2 linked regions of the Drosophila melanogaster genome follow. The protein of the gene in region 2 interacts with the protein of the main gene of each other region in a pairwise test. Each region holds a gene or a part of one and is shown on either strand. Other genes may lie near its edges. The genes, in order: Rab6 and CG33110.

Region 1 (4,610 bases), on a different chromosome or scaffold from region 2:
TCCAGTGGGTCCTGCCTATGATCAGTACGCCCAGTCAGTGCGGGATCAGTTGCACGATGCTGGATTCATGAGCGAGGCGGATTGCGATGCCGGCGACACGATGAACAAGAAGATACGCAATGCTCAGTTGGCCCAGTTCAACTTCATTCTGGTGGTGGGCGACAAGGAGCGCTCCTCGAATACCGTTAACGTGCGCACTCGGGACAACAAGGTGCACGGCGAGGTCTCCGTGGCGGAACTCATCACAAAGCTGCAAAAGATTCGCGACGAATTCATCGCCAACGAGGACAGCTTCTAAGACTCTATTTCGAACTATTTATCAAAAGTATACTTAACATTTGCATAGCAAAGCAAGTACGCATTTTTGTTCTTTCTATGTATTTACGCTTACGAAACCGGAATTCACAAATAAAAAACCAAATCCAAACACATTTTAAGGTGTTTCAAATAGAAGAGAAGAGCATGCAATCAAATAAAAGCAATTCGATTCAATATACGATTATTAAGCTTCCCCAACTAAAAATCGTATTTTTCTGATCCACCTTAAGCCGCCTATTTCACTCCAGTTTCTTGACGAATCAGTGGAATTTGTCAGCAATTGAGGACTAGTCATGCCGACACAGAGGTGCGCTGTAGTCCATTCAGGAACGATTTGGAATGATAAGATAAGTCGGCCCACATTTGGCGGAAAACTTTTTGGGAAAGGTGTGCGTGCACCCACAACGTATGAGTCATGTTTTGAATTTATTTTTTTGTATTAATTTATTGCTAGTATCTTGTATACTTTTCATTTTCATAATTTGATTTATTAAAAATTGCATCAATAGTTTATGTTTTTATTCAATTATCAATTTTGTAAGCTTTTGCTTTTCGCGTAAAAAATGCACAAAGTTCTCTCGCTAATCGAAGCAAAAATCGTTAATAATATTGTTAAGTGTTTGCTCTGCTCGTGCTCTGCTTATCTGTTTCAGTTTTAGTCATAAAAATACATATTTTATATTTGTGTATATTTATTCATAAGATGCACGTGGCCAAGTCCTATGCCATCCACAGTTCCAGTTAGCAGTCGCGTTCGCTGTGCTAAAAAAAAAACCGAAATCCTAACCAAAACTGGCGAAACAAAAGCCGCAAACAGAACAGAACGGGGGCTAAAATTGGAAACAAAATGCCTGGCTGGTGGAATCATTGAACACAGACTGGCTGCGTGGTATCTACGACTGCTGGAGATGCCGAGAGCTGGAATGTCGGAGGATCCTGGGACCGCCTGGCCTGACATAAGTACATGGTCTTGGGTTTTTTTTCGTTTAGAGGGTTTAGGGGGTATCGGAAATGCACTACACTATATTCTTGTCTGGTAGCTAACTCGCAAATATTACTCTGATCTTGATCCCTGATCTCGTGTCAATGAGTTAGCATTCGCACTCGCCTGCGCTCGGGATTAGCTCGTCAATTAACAGTAATTAGTTAGCCGATTTCGTTAATTGTTGTTTAGTCTATTTGCCTTTGCTATCATTTGTTACTTTATAAATAAACTTAAACGTAAAGTGTGTATGTGTGTATAGATGTTGAGGAATCCGCCGCAGATCCGGCCAGTACATACACCTGACACCTGTGTACACCAGTGCTGCTGGCCGATCTCCTGCATCTGCATCTGCTCCTGCTGTTGAAAAAGGGGGAGAGGATGGTTGGATCGTCGGCTCAACCGGTTCTAGCAGGCGCAGCCGCCCTCGGGATCCTTTGTCTCGTTGGGTGAGTCCTTTAGCACAACCTCCTGCATGTCCTCGGAGGGCTTGTTCTCCGTGGAATCCATGCCGGGCAGTGCCGCGGCCACCCGTCGGAACAATTGCTTCACATTGTAGCCGGCCTTGGCGCTTGTCTCGATGAACATCACGTTAAGCTCCTTCGCCTTGCGCTCACCCTCCTCGGTGGACACCTGACGCTTGTCGGAGAGATCCGTCTTGTTGCCCACCAGCATGATGATGACGTCGCTACCCCGCTCCGTGCGCACGTCATCGATCCACTTGGAGGTCTGGTGGAACGAGTTGGTGTTGGTGATATCGTAAACGACCACTGCCACCGTGGAGTCGCGTATGTACGAGGGTATCAGCGAGCGGAATCGCTCCTGTCCCGCCGTATCCCACAGCTGCAGGCGCACAGTGCGATCCTCCAGGTACATGGTCTTCGATAGGAAATCAATTCCGATCGTCGCCTGGTACGTGTTGTCGAAGCTGTCGTACATGAAGCGCGTAATCAGCGAGGTCTTGCCCACACTCTGCTCGCCGAGGAAGACGAGCTTGAACTTCCGCAGCGGATTGCCAAAATCTCCGGATGACATCTTCCTCAACGTACGTGTCTACTTTTTCTTAATTACGGGTTTGCTGAACTCTCTTCTCGCTCCGCTCCGCTCTCACCAATCTCCACCCCTCCTCACTGTTTATAATGGGGCTGGGCCAGCGGTTTTCGGGGCCCTTTCGCACTGCGATTTCTCGGGATGCACCGCTTTCAAGTTGCCGCACTCTATTACACACGCTCTAAATGCTTTCCGTCTGGCTAAAGACTCAATTGCGGCTCGAATGGCTTGGTAAATCGCTAGGTTGAGTCGTGGAAAAATTACGGTCTCTGCTTCTTCTTCTTTAACTTCTGAGTCAGTTGCTGTGTGACCAGAGTGGCAATCAAAAGCAATTTCTCTGCCACGCTATCGATAAACGCATATTTGTACTAAATCGATGTTTTATGATTTAAAAAAAAATCGATTGATATTCGTTACCGTTATTAAATAATTTTAACTAAAATTTACCTGCTTAAAATGTTTAAATACTGATGAAGTACAAGGTAATTGCTTAACTTTTTATTTCATATTAAAAAGTGAATACTAAGTGTAAGAAATACTAACAGGTGATAACGCGATTTTCAAATATAAAGCTCTCTAAAGTGATTTGCTTGTTTTTAGATAAACGAGCGTAGGTATTTGCCCATCCTATCGGTGGAACTTGACGTACTTCTGTCAAAGAGTCACTGTTCGGGCGTCGCTTAATCTCAAATTATAATAAGTGGTTATCTGAAGAACACACGGTCCTTAATTGAAAGCCTTATCTGCTGGCGCTGGCAAAATTTTGGAATGGCGAATTAATTTAAACGTGCCGCGATAAAGGTCGATGTAAACAGTTCCGCGAAAACTATGTTAGCGAACGGACAGCAAACAAAGTCGTTGGCCAGTGGGCTTCTTCTCCTACTGGGCATATGCCGAATATCCGGAGTGGCTATCGGCGCACCCGAGGGGCGTGTCGTGGGTGGATCTCCGGCAGCGGTGAATAGTGCTCCCTATGCGGTGTCCATGCAGTACGGTGGCACCCATTACTGTGCCGCCAGCATTCTGAATGCCAACTGGCTAGTCACCGCTGCCCACTGCCTGACCAATAGTAACCAGGTGCTGGGCAGCACCTTGGTGGCCGGAAGCATCGCGGTGGACGGAACTGCAAGCACTACGCAGACGCGGAGCATCACGTACTTCGTGATCAATGACTTGTACACCGGCGGAACTGTGCCCTATGACATCGGAATGATCTACACGCCCACCGCCTTCGTTTGGAGCGCCGCCGTTGCCCCAGTGACGCTACCATCCTCGGGAGTGGTGCCCACTGGCACCGCCAATCTGTACGGATGGGGCAGCACTAGCACCACGAATACCGCCTCCTATCCGTCGACCCTGCAGGTGGCCACCAATGTGCCTATCATTTCGCTGAGCTCCTGCGAAAGCGCCCTGGGCACCAAGGGCAGCGATGTCCACTCGACCAATCTGTGCACTGGTCCTCTAACTGGCGGCGTTAGCATTTGCACCTCGGATTCGGGCGGACCACTGGTCCAGGGCAATGTCCTTATTGGCATCGTGTCCTGGGGCAAGTTACCTTGTGGTCAGGCCAACTCACCGTCGGTTTACGTGCAGGTCTCGTCGTTTATATCGTGGATATCGGCTAACCAGCAGGTGTCCTAAATAGTCGAGTTTTTCCCTATTTTTTCAATAAAAGCAATCAAATGTGTGTCCCTAGTGGCGGTCACTTAAATGTGGGACTTTCCTTCGCATCACAGCTACTATATCAAACAACGAGCTGTTTTTTAAAGTTTATCTTATCTCGTAAAGAGAGAGGAACACGGTGAGCAACCAACGAACAGATTTATATGCTTCACATATTTTCGGGCTGTAAATAACAATTTCTTACATTGCACAATAACAGAATAACGAACCGAATCATTGTGAAATATGTGAGTTAAGTAAATAATGTTGAGACTATGGTTTCAAAATCTAAACATTTCTTACCAGAACTAACCTTTTTAACAATGGTCTTATAGATATTATATTTATAATATTTTCCTTATCAATGGACGGGGATCCCCTCGAAAATACAGAATGACAAACTTGAGATATTGCCCTCAACACCCTTTTGCATCTATTCTCATTGTTGACTGAGTCTATCATAACAAGAGAGAAATATATATATATAAAATCGTATAATCTTAAGTTATAATAGGCTCTTATCTGAAAGACAAGGGCTCTGATTGAAAGTTCTTATCATATTCTCGGTTGGCTCGCATGAAATTTTTTATCACGAATT
Region 2 (5,139 bases):
ATATTCATATTTCATCTGCAATTCTTAAATCAAATTTAGAGTATAGAAAAATCGGTAAGTTGGTTTCAGCTTTTGTTACAAATCTGCTAGCATTTAAGACCCATTTGTGGTGCAAAAACAAATTGGATTAAAATTGTGCATTTAACTTCAAATTGCCATTAATTGTTTTTGCTGTGTGGCCTGGGAAAGGGGAATACAATCGATGGACAGGCGTAACAAATGGCTGCTTGAAAAGCCATAAAAGGTAGAATTTGGATTAAGAAGCTGACCATTTAATTGCCGAGCTCACTAAAATTTGAATGTGAACTTTGTGCTGTCGCGGAGACATAATTAAAAACACTTTATTTGTGGTTGTTTTCGTATCTGCTCTATGACTGGTCAAAAAAGTGGCTTTGAGCCGAACTAAATGACTCTCGAGTCTGCCGGAGTCAGTGAGTCATCACAAAACAGAGGCAACGAACTTGCTAGCCAACTGCGGAAGATGAACCCGGCAAGGTGAGGCGAAAACAAAGACCGACCAACAACCAACTATCAACCGGTCAAATGACAAATGCCGAATCATATTAAAGAGACCATAAACTCCTTAAGTCCACGCGTGCCTCTCGAAATAGAAATTTGATTGGAGATGAGCGAGTTTCGATCTGACAGTGAATTTAATTCAGAACTTAGATGACCGGTTGCGACCACTTACCCGCTTGGAACTGGGACTATCGGAGTAGTCAACCGGTTGGCACTTCAGATTGTAGTAGTTCAGCCAGCCTGCCATTAGGTGCTATTTGTGAGAAACCGAAAAGGGAATGATATCAGTTGGACGAACCTTAGGCTATATGCTAATCTCTAGATTCGAACTCACCTCGTAGAACATATACCCACTGAGGGCCACCTGGAAGGCATTGTAGACGACCAGGGTGCGGCGCAGCTGGAAAGGCTTGCGATCGCGCATGAACAATGGTCCAATGACCAGGACCCAGGATAAGTAGACGGCCACCATGCCAAAGGTGAACATTGGGTGCTCCATCAGCGGGAAGCGCTTTGCTCGCGGATCTGTAAAATTTAGACGCAAAACATCCTAATTAATTACCACCATTCGTTGTTCATTTCATTTGCTATACGTTTTGCCTATGCTAATGCAGAGACGGTACGAAACAGCTTCGATTTGCATTTAATTAGTTTCAGCCAAGCCATTCAATCCATGCCAGCTGAATGAAATCGTGGCTAAATATAAAGTCAACTTGTCACTTGTAGCGTTTAAAGTGTCAGCACAATCGCCTCTACACTGAGCAATAATAGTAAAATATGCGAGGCTGGCATGCCGGTTAGGGAATTATTCCATATCTTAGTAAACATCGACGTCATAGCCCGGTAATTTAAAGAAACCCCACAGAAATGATATGGTAATTAATTGCAAGGGGCTTTGCATTTCTAAATGGACCAACTTTTCCATAACACTGCTTGTTTACTACAATAGTTATGATTTATCATCCAGTTCGACGATATTGCCAGCAAATAGTTGTTTACTACAAATATTCCATTGGCTGCTTGGGATCACTTTTATGCCGGGAATTCTTGACCTGTTGCACTGAGCAGTTGGTTCTATTCTGGGCCTCAATGTCATTTGGATAACTTAGTTTACTAAGTCAAACAGAAGCTTCTACTAAAATATTAAGATGCTAAAATATAATATACAAAAACTAGAGAAAATTCATATTTCTATGTCTATAAATATTTGTCTGTACACTGCTTTACATTTTTTGTTATGATGTAAAATATGCTACAAATTAAGATTAAAAAAAAAACCTTTATATTTCATGTATCATAAAATTAATATATCTCGTTAATATATATTTAATATAATATAATAATATATATTTTGTATATATATATATATTTTAATATATATTTTGTTTTTAATAAATTTGCATAGCACTAACATAAAAAAGTCTCGAGTTTTCTCCCAATTTGTGCGTCAAGTTCGTGTCCTAAGTCTTTCGCTCACGGACCGGAACTGTTACTTTTTTCAAGTTTGTGTTCTAAGTCTTTTGTCTATGGCCAAAAAAACCCCCGAACGTTTTTGCTTCGTAAGCGTGATTTTGGCACTAAGTAATCTTCTTAAACCCGCTTTAGTATCACTAAGCCACCGAAAAAATAACTCTATTTGCACTGCTTTTAATTGCAACTGCCTGCCATTGACCTTTCACCGCCGACTTTTCGCATTGCCAGGAAAGTGTATATGTGAATATGGGGTACCTCTGGAAACGGAACTCATGGGCAGACCCCAGAGGCAATTGGCATGTTCGAAGTGCTCCGGCTGCTATTGTACTTAATAAATACATGCTCAGCTGCACACGGCGAAACCAAAAGCAAAACCAAAGTCGTCGATGGCGACGGTCGCATCATAAAAATGTCTAAGATAAGCAATGTAAATACATTTTAATTACGTTAATAATTGTCAAAAATACAATTGACACTGCCAAGGTCGCAATTTAAAGAGCGCGCACACACAAACGCACACAAGAAATCATTTTTAATTGTCCTAGAAGTTTTTTGGCTCAACTTTTGGCTTTGTCTTTTTACTTTTCTTTTTTGTGTGGTTTTTTTTTTTAACATTTTTTCTTTGCCATCTCGTGTTCGTTTTGTTTGGCATTTAGGTTTTGTGTTACGATTTGTAGGCCATAAAAAATGACAATTTCATGGCAATTCGTCATTTTTATGGATTTATAATTAAGTCGGCTAATGCACCAGATATTCGAAAAGCACCCGAACACTTGACACCTACCGCCGTAATCCTCTTCCACCAGCTGGTAGTAGCGCTGCACGAGGCCCGTATAGTTGCGCGTTATGTGATGGGTCTTGAACTCATCCAGCGCGATATTGGCTATCTCCACGACCATTTCGAATCGCGAGCTGCTGTTGTAGTTGTGGTAGTTCATACTCATGATGATGATATGGGTTCTCAGTTATCCTCAGGCTTATCCTTGGCCTAAAACTTGAAGTATCCAAAACGGTGGGCGTTTTTTTTTTTGTGCGTTTTATACGTTCAGTTCGTTTGGTCAGAGGCTCGCCGCAGGATGTTGCATACTGCGCTCGGGCCGATCGAAAGCACTTTATTGACTGCACACGCTCAGAAAAATCACTTTTCGACTCGCTGTATTCGCTGTTTAATTTATTATTGCCCAATTCGTATTGGATATAGACGCGCAGATCTGGCTGGATTCTACCACCACACCTTAGGAATGTTTATGCTCAACTGAATCTAAAACTTCTCAGCAATCACAAGATAAAGTAACTTTTTCGCAGCGCCAGCCGAGCAGAGCAGCGGCAGAATCGGTGGCAGAGGCTGAGCGGCTGCGATCGCGACGCTTGTGCAAAATACTTGGCTGGCTCACAAGTACAACTACAAATGCCCAATAACAGATAGAGCCCGACTTCGGCAACTCAACGAATGGCGAATCCCCCGAAAAGAGCCATAGAACAACGGAAGTTTCGTTCAGTTGGCGCCGCAGTGCATGCAATTTTTTCTACATCTGTGTTGGCCACAAACCCCCATTACTCGCATGTGTGTGAGTATGTGTGTGAGTATCTGTGTGTGCTTGGCCCACTGAGTCGCATTCGAGTTTTTTCGATTTTTAGCATGTTCCGTTTGGCATTCAACATTGAATGCCGATGATTTTGTTGCCGGTGGTTCGAGACACCGGGTGAATTCAACTTTTTATAGGTCAATGCACTACGATGTGGCTGAACTCTTCGGCTCTTTGCTGTTTGCAATTTGAAATTTATCTAGCTGCGAAATGAAATTTTACTCTTTAGTTAATTATAAGTTTAAGCTAAGAAAGTAAGTAGTTAAAAAATTCAGTAATGCGTTTATTGCATGCTAACTTTAATAAACTACTTACTTATTTGTTATATGTTTTTAGGTAAAACTTAAACTTCCAGAAATTTCCAATTTGTAAATAAATTTGTAACATAAAAAAAATATTTTTACACAATTAAACAATTGAAAATTTATTAACGGATTTTATTCACAATTAATTCTAATTTTACATAGGCTTTAAAATGTGATTTATTTGTTAAGATTATTTTTATACCACAAAAATCGTATTCACCTAAATAAAATATAAGACAAGTGCAATGCATAACTTTACAATTACAACTTAATCATAAAATTAATCGAAGCGTTATAATAATTGTGATTTTTATTAATCCCTTCAATTGCAAAGTAAGCTATAAAAGCGAGTACTATAAGATTATTGCCTATAATTGCTAAAACCTTTACGTGTGGCATATTAATAAACGGATTTATTAACCTGCCAACGAGACCCCTTTTCACTATAAAATTAATCCGGTTGAAGCATAGGGATCCACAGCTCCTCTTTCACCTAAGATCAGCTCTAAAGTGTAATCAACTCTATTGTTTGTAATTCGCATAATATTTTTTTTTTTATTAATTATCTAAGGAGCCAAACTAGTTGTCCACCAGCGAAGCACGTACAATTAAAACAAGTTTTTAATGGCATCTTTAATGTGCAAGTGCCTTACATTGTGACAAACTAAATTAAAGGCTTGAGCTATGTTGGTTCCTGGACTTCCGGCTTGTCTTCCAATGACCTCAGCCGACGATGTTTATTTGTAATTCCCATTCATGCTTACAAGCAAAATAACCTGTTCTCGGCTAATCGGCCCTGGAGGTGTTGATTCGGGGCCTATTTGCTGATATGCTAAATAAATTCTCGGGCAGTTAGAACGATGCCAAGAATCCAGAAGATCTAGGGAGTGATAAACGTGTCAAGGTGTCCAATCGCAGATGGCCTTAGATACACGATCAATCCGCAGATAAATGAGACGTGTGTAAATCCATAGAGATCGAAGGCAAAAGCCACTGGGTTATGTTCGTCGTTAAGTTGTGTAAATTATCGGACGTGCAGCGAAGCCTTCGCCGGGGTATATTACCCGTAATTATGCCATTTAGTTCCATACAGAACCATTTGCGTTTTGCGACAAATTAACGCCGAGCGCATTGAGTGCCTAGTAAATGGTTCTTTGAAGTTCAGCCCGGCCAGTTCGACCTTTGCTTGGCTTGATTATTTTGGCCATGTTTGGGGCCGACGTATTCGAATCTGTATCCAAAGCCGGCAAGGATGA

Evidence for each region.
Region 1: the proteins of CG33110 (region 2) and Rab6 interact in a two-hybrid assay, tested with the Drosophila melanogaster proteins (one large-scale study listed by BioGRID).

Annotation. Positions count from the first base shown.
Region 1 is NT_033779.5:12,106,465-12,111,074, forward strand, and holds Rab6 (Rab6), read right to left. Parts: upstream 2,653-4,610; 5' UTR 2,336-2,652; coding exon 1,709-2,335; 3' UTR 757-1,708; downstream 1-756. Other genes in the region: ThrRS (Threonyl-tRNA synthetase), read left to right, coding at 1-298; Phae1 (phaedra 1), read left to right, coding at 3,179-3,991. UniProt on the Drosophila melanogaster protein: Protein transport. Regulator of membrane traffic from the Golgi apparatus towards the endoplasmic reticulum (ER). Mediates membrane trafficking during egg chamber growth and organization, possibly upstream of exocyst component Sec5.
Region 2 is NT_033777.3:22,568,300-22,573,438, reverse strand, and holds the start of CG33110 (uncharacterized protein), read right to left. Parts: upstream 3,252-5,139; 5' UTR 2,937-3,251; coding exon 2,777-2,936; intron 1,045-2,776; coding exon 854-1,044; intron 773-853; coding exon 692-772; intron 1-691.